Linked DNA regions of Neodiprion lecontei. The protein of the gene in region 1 interacts with the protein of each later gene in a biochemical or structural test. Links are inferred from orthologs where the notes say so. Each region holds a gene or a part of one and is shown in the gene's direction. Other genes may lie near its edges.

Evidence for each region.
Region 2: of the proteins of mitogen-activated protein kinase kinase kinase 7 (region 1) and TGF-beta-activated kinase 1 and MAP3K7-binding protein 1, one has a biochemical effect on the other in vitro, tested with the Homo sapiens proteins (4 studies listed by BioGRID and IntAct). The link is inferred for Neodiprion lecontei from reciprocal best matches to the Homo sapiens genes MAP3K7 and TAB1.

What each region holds. Positions count from the first base shown.
Region 1 is NC_060260.1:31,603,736-31,610,198, forward strand, and holds the start of mitogen-activated protein kinase kinase kinase 7, read left to right. Parts: upstream 1-2,710; 5' UTR 2,711-2,847; coding exon 2,848-2,925; exon of another isoform or gene 2,926-2,944; intron 2,945-3,511; coding exon 3,512-3,737; intron 3,738-4,276; coding exon 4,277-4,394; intron 4,395-4,525; coding exon 4,526-4,855; intron 4,856-5,087; coding exon 5,088-5,200; intron 5,201-5,411; coding exon 5,412-5,818; intron 5,819-5,892; coding exon 5,893-5,992; intron 5,993-6,463. Other genes in the region: brefeldin A-inhibited guanine nucleotide-exchange protein 3, read right to left, coding at 70-339, 505-634, 717-882, 1,014-1,148, 2,115-2,248, 2,318-2,402. UniProt on the Homo sapiens protein: Serine/threonine kinase which acts as an essential component of the MAP kinase signal transduction pathway. Plays an important role in the cascades of cellular responses evoked by changes in the environment.
Region 2 is NC_060262.1:384,893-391,347, reverse strand, and holds TGF-beta-activated kinase 1 and MAP3K7-binding protein 1, read left to right. Parts: upstream 1-2,585; 5' UTR 2,586-2,698; coding exon 2,699-2,789; intron 2,790-2,939; coding exon 2,940-3,177; intron 3,178-3,250; coding exon 3,251-3,383; intron 3,384-3,477; coding exon 3,478-3,718; intron 3,719-3,850; coding exon 3,851-4,107; intron 4,108-4,186; coding exon 4,187-4,648; 3' UTR 4,649-4,951; downstream 4,952-6,455. Other genes in the region: 4-hydroxybutyrate coenzyme A transferase, read right to left, coding at 5,798-5,982, 6,085-6,351, 6,440-6,455. UniProt on the Homo sapiens protein: Key adapter protein that plays an essential role in JNK and NF-kappa-B activation and proinflammatory cytokines production in response to stimulation with TLRs and cytokines.

The sequences.
Region 1 (6,463 bases):
CTAATCAGTGCGGAATTACTTTTTTCGACACACTTTGAGCCAAGTTTGCTTGCCACTGTAATATCATACCTATAAACAGTTTTAGCCTGATGGCTGTCAAAACTCAAAGCTGTTGCTAAGTAGCCTGACCCTCTACCAACTTCCGTATCTTTTCCTTCCCTGGATATAAATGTTTTGTCAACTCTTGGAGTACCCAGAAAAGCTATGAGCGCGGGGCAAAACTTTTGCCACAAGAATGTCGTGAAGTGTGCATTAGTATGGATTTTCTGCGGAAGAGATGATATCAATGTGTGCAAGCATTCTAGAAGAAACACAACTGTTGTTCCATTACGGCCGTTTCTGGAATAATGATTGAAAAATATTAGATTAAACTTAACTTTGCAGTAATAAGTGCACATTTTAATACTGCGGTGACATTGTTCGAAGAATATTAAAATGAATTTTTTTTTTTCTACAGAAGTTCAACTGTAAATGTTTCGTTTGATTTTTTTCAGCAATACTTACGTTTGAGCTTCATCTAATTTGCTACAGATATATTGTAGTATAGGTATCGCCTCATTAAAACAAGATACCCCTCTTTCATGAATATTCTTATTCTTCTTGGCATTCTCGTCCATTTCTTGACATTCTTCATCTGTAATAAAAATATTTAGTAGTCAAAATTTGTGGTGTATACTAAACTACATCCTAAGCAATTAAATATCTGTTCATATTGCCTAGAAATAAGCAGAAGGATCGAAGAGTTTGGCTGGTAGCTGCCTGTGCCGCAGTTCTAACTGCTTGGTTTCCATTTTCAAAGGCCTCGCTACAAGTTGTTAGTACAGCAATAATGAGACGACCATTCATTGTCCAATATGAAGAACATGCAACTTGCAGTAGCACCTAGGAAAAATTTTACGAATAACATCAATAATAATATTAATGATTTGATTGGTTTAAAATGAATCACAGGTAAAAACAGCCTAGACTGTATTTGCTCTTCATTTCTGTTTTCAATTTTACAACTAACTTACTTTTAGCATGTCTGTCTGTGCATCGTCTGACTGGGATAATATGGAACTCATAGTATGGAGCATTTGAGCTGGAAGCCACAAGGAATCATCCTCCGGCTCATAAGGAGACTGAAATCTATCGTCCCTCAGCATTTTCTGCCATAAGACATAAATGAACATTAATTGCATATAACCACTTATATCTATAAGAAATTATTCTATTCAATTTCAATTAGAAACAAAATGTTTGTTCGAATAATCCTGAAAAAATAACTCATTGAAGCGAATAAGTATAAATTATCTTAGAAACATTTAATGTCAAATTTAACACTATATATTAGTCGATTAAAAAAACGACATGAGCAAATAAGTGAAACATAAGCAGAGTGCTTGATATGTCAGTAAAAATATGTTATATATTGTGTAATCAGTGTCGAAACCGTGACCAAAAAACTTAGAGCTTCTCCCATTGCAATAAAAATCATTTGGCATGAGCTTCAAATTTGCAGAATATATTCAAAACGCTGTCATAACAGGAGAAAGAGACTGAAATCAAAAAAAATAGTTTCCTATTTCTTATTGATCAACTTTCACTGCATAACAGGTCTGAAATTGCAAGGAGACATGTAAAAACAATCAATTGGTAAGCAAAAACTACTGTCTGAATATCGATTGGTAACTTGCTAAATAACACAGCTCTGAATGAGTTTCTAAATCTAGTCAAGCTGCTCAAAGTATTTTACAAAAAATCATGAATTCTGAAAACAAAAATTTGTGGCACAATGATCTAATTTTAACATTAATTATATTCTTGGAACAATTTTTTTCAGTTAAAGTATAGTTTCACTTCGAAATATAATTTAAATATTTTTATACAGTTATCGTCGAAACAGTAATTAGTAGAAAAAATCAGTCAGCGTCAGAAATGTGAATGAGTGCTAGCTGTGTAGCATAGTGAGTATCATATGGTGAAAGCACTATCAGTAATTGTACCACCCAGGATGTGGTTATTGCAAATACGAGGGTGTTACACAGTGAGAGTGAGGCAATGTACGAGCGATAAGGAAAGCTGGCGAAATAAAGCGAACAGCTGTGAATATCGGGATCATTAGAATGCATTACATGTAGGCCAGCAAGACCAAAGGCGACAAATTTGCTTCTCCTTGTTTCGAGAGCGAGCTGACAGGTGTGGAGGCATTTCGCCCGCAGTTCGTGCGGGGGATCCCGCAATAGACCTTGCTGCTTGTCCAGGAAATCTGTGGGAGAAAATAAGTGAGTGAAGAATCAAAAAATGGATAAGATAAGATGTTCAATGTTTAGCTCACCATGTGCCTCTTGCGCCGATTTACGTATGTTTGGTAATTTCGCGTGCGAAGCCTCCTTGACGATCTGCAGCAGGAGGTCCTCCATGACAGAACCATGCAACAAATCGATAAAGCGAGTACAGAACCCGGAGACGAGATAAAAATGTCCTACGAGTCCAGAATAAACTCGGAACAACGCGGCGTAGTCATTTCGATATGAGAATTATATTATTTACTTAAAATCTTGTCTAATAATTGATTATATTCGACAACTATCGCGAGTGTTCTGCTTTTGATATTTCTCAAATTTTCCGCTGCACGCTCGTCCACTCAGCAGCGCCGCTGCGATCGCCATTGCAGGTTTGATATCTTTGACCAATTGTATTACAGAACGCCCACTTCGTCTCAAAACAACGCAAACACGTCGGTAGAAAGACGAAAAATGGCAAATGGCGAAACAATTTGAATGCCAGTTCAAATAAATATTTGTGAAAAATTTGCGTTAGCTGGGTAAATGCGGCCTGAAAATAATGTGATGCGGACGGTATGTGATGGCGAGCAAGGAAGGAACTGGCCATCAGCAACAGTTTGTTGAAGAAATTAACTACAATGAAATTGAAACACAGGAGGTAATCTTGTGATATCTGTGTAAGAAAATCGCACATTTTCATTATGTTTACCCTCACCAAATTGTCATTTTGTAGCAAATAACTTACCCTTAAATAAATAGCACTCGTAAAATTCCATATCGTATCAATGAACCTCGTATAAAAATCTATTGCGAAAACATAACCTCACAACATCTTCGTCTCCAAAACATTTTGGTCTCTATAAACATACATGAATATTTTTTTCACTCAATTATTTATCTCGATCAATCAACTGAGTCCTGACTGTTAATATGTCCATCCACTTTCGGGCTGTTGCTCACCGTTATTCATCAGTAAACATTATTATTGACGTGCATAGAACTCGCGTTTGTAAAAGAGAGTGAATTGATTTATACAATATCAACGAACAAGCTTTATAGATCAGCTAACGTTAGTTAAAATTAAAACATTTATTTACAAAGAGATATCAGCCATTGCTGTGTAATCAAATTCATCTAATCAGCTTTGATACGCGCCTCATGATTTGTTTAGACATTTTATGTCAGCGATCCAACTTCCTTTAACTAATACAGTAAAGTAAAAAAGTAATTGTTTCTGATAACAGATTGTTGGGAAAGGCTCCTTTGGAGTTGTCTGGAAAGGACGATGGAGAGGTCAGTATGTGGCGGTGAAACACATAAACTCTGAGGGAGAGAGGAAGGCATTCACCGTCGAAGTGCGCCAGCTATCCAGAGTAGCACATCCTAATATTGTTAAACTCTATGGTGCATGTACAAAAAATCCAGTTTGTTTAGTTATGGAGTATGCTGAGGGTGGCTCTTTATATAATGGCAAGTAATTGAAAATTTATAGTACACTAGTGTTAATTCAAACTAACATCCAGCTAATGATTTGTGAAATATACACATATCCAAAAAATGACCATGCATCCTAAAAAATGATTTACTTTGTAAATGATAAGTATTATTTCAGAAGTATCACATCATGGTATTTCTTTATTTAATCAATTGCGAATAGAGTTGCTTGAAATAATTTTGGTTGTTGAGTACAACCCAGTATGTTTAAACAAATGTAGTGGTTTTACTTGATACCTTATCTATGAAATAGGAGTAATGCAGTGCCTGAATATAAAACACCAATGATCTGCAAAATACAGCATACATTACTGAGTTTTCAAATTTCACTTTAAGGCTGCTCTGTCCCATCATTCTAATAATTATACGTGAATGATACTTTCTCTGCTTTATTCTTCCATTTACATTCGAGCTGTGTACGTATCTTTTGAGAATTGATACTTTTTCTGCTTTTTTAAAAAAAATTTCTTTACAATACACACATATTTTATAACTATAATGTGTTAATGTTACAGTGTTGCATTGTAATCCACAACCTTACTACACAGCAGGCCATGCAATGAGTTGGGCACTCCAGTGTGCTCGTGGGGTTGCTTATCTTCACAACATGAAGCCAAAACCATTAATTCACAGGTTGGTCAAATATTTAATCATTACATAGCTATGCACATGTTGTTGTGTTTCTAAGAGCCACTCACTTTCAAACATGGACATAATTGAAATTCTATCAGACACTATAACCTTGACTATTGGAAACTTTACAGAGATTTGAAGCCTCCTAATCTTCTTCTCATCCTGGGTGGTCAGACTCTGAAAATCTGTGATTTTGGAACAGCCTGCGATCTGAATACTTACATGACCAATAACAAAGGCTCTGCTGCTTGGATGGCGCCTGAAGTCTTTGAAGGATCGCGGTATACAGAAAAATGTGACGTGTTTAGCTGGGGCGTTATTTTGTGGGAGATTTTATCTCGTAGAAAGCCATTCGACGACATTGGTGGTTCTGCATACAGAATTATGTGGGCTGTGCATATTGGGCAGAGGCCTCCGTTGATGGATGGTTGTCCTAAACCGATAGAAGACCTTATGACCCGGTGAGTAAATATTAATTTGTTACAGCATCTTCCTATTTACACTAAGAAAAAATCTTCGAACACAGTTCAATATCTTATGGTACTTTATGGTACTGTCCAGTCATAAATCCACTTGACATGAACGTGTGTGTTTGATGTAGAGTTCGACTGTTACTCATTATGCCAAAATTTAATCTGTAATTCCTATTTTTCTCTATATTAACTTTCTCTCATTTTTATTTGTTGCTTTTAGGTGTTGGAAAAAAGTTCCAGAAGAGAGACCGTCAATGGATGAAGTTGTTCAAATTATGACCACTCTTTCAGAGTTCTTCAACGGTCAATTGGATCCTGTTGAATATTCTTTAAGTATGTTATAAACCTCCATAGACACTTCTTAAACTAAGATTATCAAAAACGAAAAAAGATGATAAGAACGCACTATGAAAAAATTACGTCTTATGAGGGTTTTTTAGTAGAGAAAACAAATCATTATTATAGTAAATGCTATTTCATACAAAATACAAAATCCAAGTAACCTGTACAGTAAAGAATTTTGCATTTTCATGGTAATTTTCAGGCAGTGAAATGGATGAGGAAGATGGTGCTGATGACACATTGGATATGCCGAGTACCTTAAACTCACAAATCAATGGTTCTGTAAGCAATGGTACAAATCAGACACCAACGCCAACAGACAATCAAGTTATGTCTGACATTCAATTTACACAACCAGAAACCAGCTCGTCACAGTCTCAGGTACCGCAGACTGAATGTAACACAGGGTACCTCACACCTAGGCTGAACCAAGCTGGAACACAGTTCCTTGGACTTCAGAATAATTCTAAGCCCAACTCACAAACTGGCGGTAAAACAGATCTCACGCCACAAAGACCTCCTAGAGGTATACCTGTGACTCAACGAACCAGACTATCACCATCAGTTTTAAACGACTATACTTCGCCGATACAGATAGAGTGTAATCCAGTAAGTAGTCGCGATATGTGGGTTTACTTGTCAAATTTGTTGATTCTTATTTATTTTATGATGCCCATTTTCAGAATTCTTGGGATTTAACCACATCCGATGACTCTTCATGGGAGATACGTAACATGGCGGGATTGGACAAAATGGTTCCAAAGACACATAAAACTCCTCAAGGTAAGAAGTTCAGAATTTTTTTACGATTCTACATTTATTTCATTTGAAATCATATGAGTTTGGCAAATATCGTATTTCATATTTACTAGAGTGAGCTTCTGAACTTGACCCACTTTGTTTTATCCATTGAATTTTCGTCAAATGCCTAAGTTAAATCAGTTAGCAGCAAAAGATACCTTATTATTCTGAAGATACATGCATCGTTTTGATTTCGATGTAACAACAAAAACTCATGTACGATTTATACAAAGGTATACATTCAAAGGTATACTTGGAAAATAATATAGTAGAATAAGAAATTAGCTCATATTCAAAGTTAGAGTGATATCACAGAGCTGGTAGTCAGTCACTTTTTTTAAAGGAGTCACGTTTTTCCAGAAATGGTCTCTGAAGTCACTTTTTCGGTCGTAATTAAGTTTCGTGCATGAACAATTTCGTTCCAACATTTTGATCTCACGCAATATCCACTAG
Region 2 (6,455 bases), on another chromosome or scaffold:
TTTTCTACGAAAATGTGAAGATCCATTCAACGACACCGTAAATCGTACTTGCCTGCATCGTCACGCGTCCCCGTTATCGTCCGAACGATGCGTTCGGGCAGAGGATCAAGAACATCGCAATCCTCGGCGACTGGGAATTCCGCATCGGACGGTTCTAAAAATGGTCGATCAAATCGGACGAGGAGCGGAACCGGGTCGAATTCGACCCTTGAAAAAACGGAGTGAGTTGATATTTTTCTTCGGATTAAGGCATGCGTGTGCCGCGTGTAAACCGTGCGTAATATCCCTGCTAATTTCGACTCTACGCAGCGCCGCGAAGAAACCGGGTAGAGAAAAAAACAAGGACATCGTCGACATCCAGCCGCTCATCTACTCCTTCAGAGTTCCGAGCAAACCGTCCCCCGGATCCGTGATGAACGGCCATCTGCCACCTTACTGGCTTTACCACGACCACGCGTTTGGCGTTATCTGGATGCTTTTTCACCCGGACAAAAAATACATCGGTAAATAAGAATCTTCGGTGGAATTATGACGGAGAAGATCCTGCGGTGCATAGTAAGATGTTATTAACCGAATTGCCGCTCGGTCCCAGGCATAGCTCAGCTCCATTGGTGTCTGAGGTTTCTACTGGACTTGAAGAACACCGAGGGCGAGTACACGGGCGACGTGAACGTCTGCATCCAGGCGGTCCAGGACGACCTTATCGAGCAGTACGCGAAACTCGGCGAAGCGTTGGAAAATGAAGAGGCGTCGAAGAGCGGCGCGAGGGAAACTTCGAGGATTTCGAAGGACGGCGAAGACGACGAGGGACCGGAAAAGGAGCACGGAAACGTGGGAAATTATCCACAGTGGGGGGGAAAGAGAGTGCGTGATAAGAAATTAAAAACTGTACAATATTCTGTCGTCATTCGCTACAGGAATCGTCATCGCCCTCCGTTCGACCGCGAGAAGATAATAATAGGAACGTCGAGTCCGGCGGTAGTTCTCCATCGGTCGAGAAGGGCGGTAATGTCAGTCTGACCTACAACGAGATGATGTCCCGAGGGCCGACTCCGTACACGGAGCAAACCCCGTTAGAGCAGATATACAGAGCCGGAGTGCCGGTGACGATCCCCGACGACGCGGTCGCCTCGACGCCCGATATCACGACACTCCTGACCCCGGACAACTCACCACCGGGTATTGTTTCAAGGGAATGAACCAGGCGTGTGTTCTAGCATGGATATACTTATATCCTGGTGAAAATAATTCTATTAATTTCCGTGAAAATATCTACGAAGTTTTACGCAAATTTCTATGCAAAAGTACAGGATTTGGGTCGATCCATAGTTTTTGAACTCGAGATATCGTAACGATTCGTACAGTTTTTCGTAGATTATTATTATTAAGAAAAACTACGAATTCACCCAAATCCTGTACCTTTGCATAGAAATTGCCGTAAAACTTCGTAGATATTTCCATAGAAATTCGTAGAATTATTTGTACCAGGGGTTTTTTCACCAGGGTTCCTGGTTTAACAGAATAACAAATTAGCTAGTTTTTCCGTAAGACTCACCTATTGAGATAAGGTGAGTTGAAAAATATACGGCAGATGCTCTAAATCCGTCTAGATCATACTCACGATAAGAGAATGAGAAGATCGGTCTTCGGAGGTAGACCCGAATTTATCTTTATTTTCAAAAAGATGATAAACTCAGCTGCCTCCTTATCGAACATTTTCAGACGTACCTTTAACCGACATGGGTACCGAGGAATTGGTCAATTTTTTGAACGTCTCTCGCATGGAGCAGGTCCAGAGGATCAAGAAAGATATAGAACGGTTACACGATTTGGAAAAGTGAGAAATTTTGATTACACGGTGGTAAATGTGGATGAATCGGATACACCGGATGCAGCATCGGAATACAAGAGTAATGATACCGACGTCGGGTTCCAGGTTCCTGGAAGGGGTTGACAAACAGGGGTTCAAAGGATTGATCAAAGGCGACCTCGCGCGTCGCCTGGACAAGTTGGACGGCGTTGACGTCATCGGGGAAGTTGAAACCATGCTCAAATGACTAAAATCGAATTACCCGTAGCGTGACAGTTACAACTGGCTTCGATGAAACTGTCAGTAAATGTCTAGTCAACGCGCATGCAGTCCGTGGAAAATTTCTGATCAATGTATTTCGTTCGAATTGTAAGCGAAACTTCAGAATCGTTGAGATGGAAATAACTACGTACCGCGGGCTTCGACATAAAAAGTCATCTCTGCACCTACAGATAGACAACCGGAGTTGCAATTTGCCATCTCACCGAGCTGATTTTTCCAGGTTTAGGTCCGGTATCACAGATATGCCGTTTTAGCTGCGAGTTGCGAAGTAAAAGACAGAATTATCGTACATTCAATACTACTGATAAATTGTAACGTATAAAACAATATAGCTGCACATCATTTGAAACGTACCGATTCTCTCGACCCACGATCACGTTCATTATCGTTACTTTTTTCTTTCATTTGATCCGATCGCTCGATAAGCTGCGTGCGCAATCTGTGTTTGATCGAGTGATTTTCATTCGCTGGCAGAATTCGCCCACCTGACTCATCTCGAAAGGCATGCAATGCATAGTTCATAATGCTATCGTAATGGGAAATGGAGGTACGCGTCAATCTCCGTGGGTAGGAAACGCGTAGTGATTGTAGAATAAAATTGTCGAGATGCCGACCAGAGCAGAGAGGCCTAATTTGCTAACGTATCAAGACGCCCAGCATAGTTGGACCGACGACTTGCCCGTTTGCAAACAGTCAGGTAGACGATTGACAATTCCAACAAGTCCTAACCTAGTCTAGCCTAACTGAAGACTACTCAAAAATAACAGAAGTCCAAAATGTTTGATGAAAAACGCTCGAATCAATTTCTAATTGAAAATGGGTGAAAATTTTGATGGCGATTCCATAGGTGTGGGGTTTTCAACGAATCAAATATATAGGGAGGATGGTGGCCGGCAGGAGGATCATCCGTTCGAAGACCGTAGTTTTCACTGTCGGTACGACGACTCGACTTTTTTATACGGAGTTTTCGATGGACACGAGGGAACGAAGGCGGCTACTTTCGCGCTTCAGCGTATGGCAGCTGAAATTCTCTTAGGACAGCTCAGTGGCAAATCGACCGACGAGGAAGTTAAAGAAGTATTAAGGTAAGTAATTTCCTATATTCTTGGAAAGGTAAATCAAACCTAGGACTAATATTGTCGTCGCTTCTTTTCTCAGGCAAGCTTTCATTACCGTGGAACGTGGATATCTAGACTCTATTGGAGATATTCTGGCAGAACGGGCTAGTCTGCAATTCGACATACCGGATGGGCTGAATTCGTATGAAACTTACCAAAAATTTCCATACTTGGTACTTGTTTTTTTGTTTTACGACATATGAAACAAACGTTGTAATAAATCTACTGTGATCGTGTGTAACAATTGTTATTTTTCTTTCTTTTTAGGTGGACAAGTTGAGTTCTTTGAACAGCGAATTGTCGGCTGGAACAAGCGCGGTGGTAGCCTTAGTTTACGGCGGACGCTTATACGTAGCAAACGTCGGAGACAGTAGAGCATTACTCTGCAGAACTGACAGCAATCAGGTCTTGAGAGTCGTGCAATTAAGTGTAGATCACGATCTGAGGAACGAGGATGAGCTGTTGAGGCTGTCTCAGCTTGGATTGGACATTGACTCTGTTAAACAAGGTCTCTATAACAATAAGTTACCGTAATAGGGCGAAATGAGTACAAAACAAGACAATTTAGAGAATCCCCACCCCCCAAATATTTTTCTTTGACACATCAGCTTGCGCTGTAACCGTAACTGTGCTTCTCTAGGTTCACACCTTGGAAACCAGGAAAACACGAGATGCCTTGGCAATTACCTAGTCAAAGGGGGATACAGGGAATTTGAGGAATTGGCATCGGCGAGCACAGAGCCAATAATAGCAGAGCCGGAGATACACGGTGGTATAGAACTCGACGATTCGTGTAGATTTTTGCTACTCATGTCGAGAGGTCTCTACAAATCGCTGGAGGAAGCGACCGGAACTGATCAGGTCAACAAAGAGTTGGCCCAAATGGCCGTCGAACAGGTACGTTTATGAACAACGGGAAGATGTTTGTTCGAGTCTGGTCAAGCGAAAGTGATTCACGAGTACTTTTTGTCTCCAGTTTAGGGTACAGTCGACATTGACGGGAGTGGCGCAGGCAGTAGTGGATAAAATAGTGAGGATACATCATGACGTCAACATGAGCAATTCCCAGAATACATTGACTACTGGAAAAAGAGACGACATAACATTGTTAGTGAGAAACTTTAACTTTCCTTTGCCCAACGTCCTAAAAAGCCCTACTATTCAGTCGGTGAGGTTTAATCCCGACGTGCAAACTGTGCCCGTACCATCGCGAATGGACAATGACTACTATTCGAGCAGCGGAACAAATACGTCCGATCAACAAAACTGTGATACATCAACGACTGAAACTTCGACCACTTCAGACATGTACCCACCGGGTGGAAAGCCTGTGAACAGAGATACTAAAATCAAACCGTACGTCGACTTTTCAGAGTATTTCAAAACTGTTGAGAAGAGACGCGAGGAGGGAACCTTGCCAGAGGGTATCAATTTTTAAGCACGACTACGAGTGTGTCGTTGTCTATTTGATTTTTTTTTCATTAGTCATTACCTAGATCTCAACTCGCCTATTGTTACGATTATTATTATTGATTCTTTGTAGGGATGCACTGTAAGATATTTGTAATATTATGACTTTGTGTTAGTAAATTAAGTTTTTCGTGATAACTGGGCCATTACTATCCCTTAATATCGTTGATCAATTTGCTGCAACAAACGGACAATGCAGTCTTGATCACATAGCATTCATTAATCACATATCGGTAAAATGTCATCTCGTTATTAAAAATGATGGAAACGATATGATAAAAAAAAATATATATATATATATTTCTTTATAAATTATTTATAAACGATTGCTATACTATTCGGAAAATTTAGATTTGAACAGTTATTTTCCCATCCCAATCATTCGTCACAATTTTCGAAATCGCTTTATTAATGTTCTAATTGAGCTGAACTGTTTGTCGCAAGGCAAAATTTTATTTTATTATGTACATTTTTTTAATACAACCATCGCCCAATCGGACAGTTAAAGAGTAGTTTGCTGGTTTGTTTTCTCCCTCACTGTAGGATCAAGATGATTTCAGGATCGAGTTTGCGACAACCGTGAGACTAAAAGGCTAAGTTCCTGTTGGTATTAGTTTATTACCCGTGTATACGATTACTATACACAGTGACATTTAAATAGTTTTTTTTCTTCTATCGTCATTATCAATCCATAGATAACTGCACCCACGTACGGCGTTAAAAGTAAAATGGTAAACGAGGTCTAGAATCTCATCGCGACTGACACGCAGTACGTTTCTGGTTTAGTCGACGATCCAATATCTCCAAGTTTCTTCCATGTAAAGATCGGAATACCTGGAGTTTTGTTTTTGATTGTAACATTCAATGTCTGGATCGGCTGCTCTCTTATTCACGACGATTAAAATCGTTAAGGAAATACATTTTGGCGCATTATAGCAGAGTTATACCAGCAAGAGTTCAGCTAGGGATAACGTGATTTGTTTTAAAAAAATATAATCACTGTTCCTTCGTATTTGCATCACGTCTGGCGTATAAACCTTACTATCTTTCAAAGGAACAAGTATCATAATTTTTAGGTATTATTTTAGGCTGTCAGAGTGTATCGGTGCGTCTGGACTTAGGGACAAGGCATGCACTTCAAACGTTCAAACGCCGACTTTTCCAAAGATTCCCGATGATCGGGATGTGCAATATTTATCAGCGCATGCGCTCTCTGTCGCAGCGTTTTACCAAACAAGCTTGCTATTCCATGTTCAGTGACAACGTAACGAACATGAGCTCTTGTAGTAACCACGCCAGCTCCTAAAACCAACAAATAAACATTAAATAGTCGTCGCAGAGTCGCGTAATTTTTTTTTTGAATTCGTCATCACGAGTTGAAAAATTTCGACAAGAATTTCTCACCTAGTTTCAGTACGGGTTGTATTTTGCTCACTCCTTTGTTCGTTACAGACGGTAATGCTATGATGGCTTTTCCCATGCCATCCTTACCCATAGCAGCTCCGCGTATGAAGTCAACTTGTCCACCAAATCCAGAATACATTCTGGTGCCTATACTGTCAGAACATACCTGCCCAGTGATGTCGACCTCGATGCACGAATTTATGGCAGTCATTTTTGGCTGCAGGGACACTATATGAGGGTCGTTGACATAATTGACCACCAACATCTCTGCCGAGAACGGAAAATTGTACAATTACTTACTACTATTTTATATTTTGCCTCTAAGACAAATTAAATAGACCGAGTGGCAACTAACCGATAAACGGATTGTT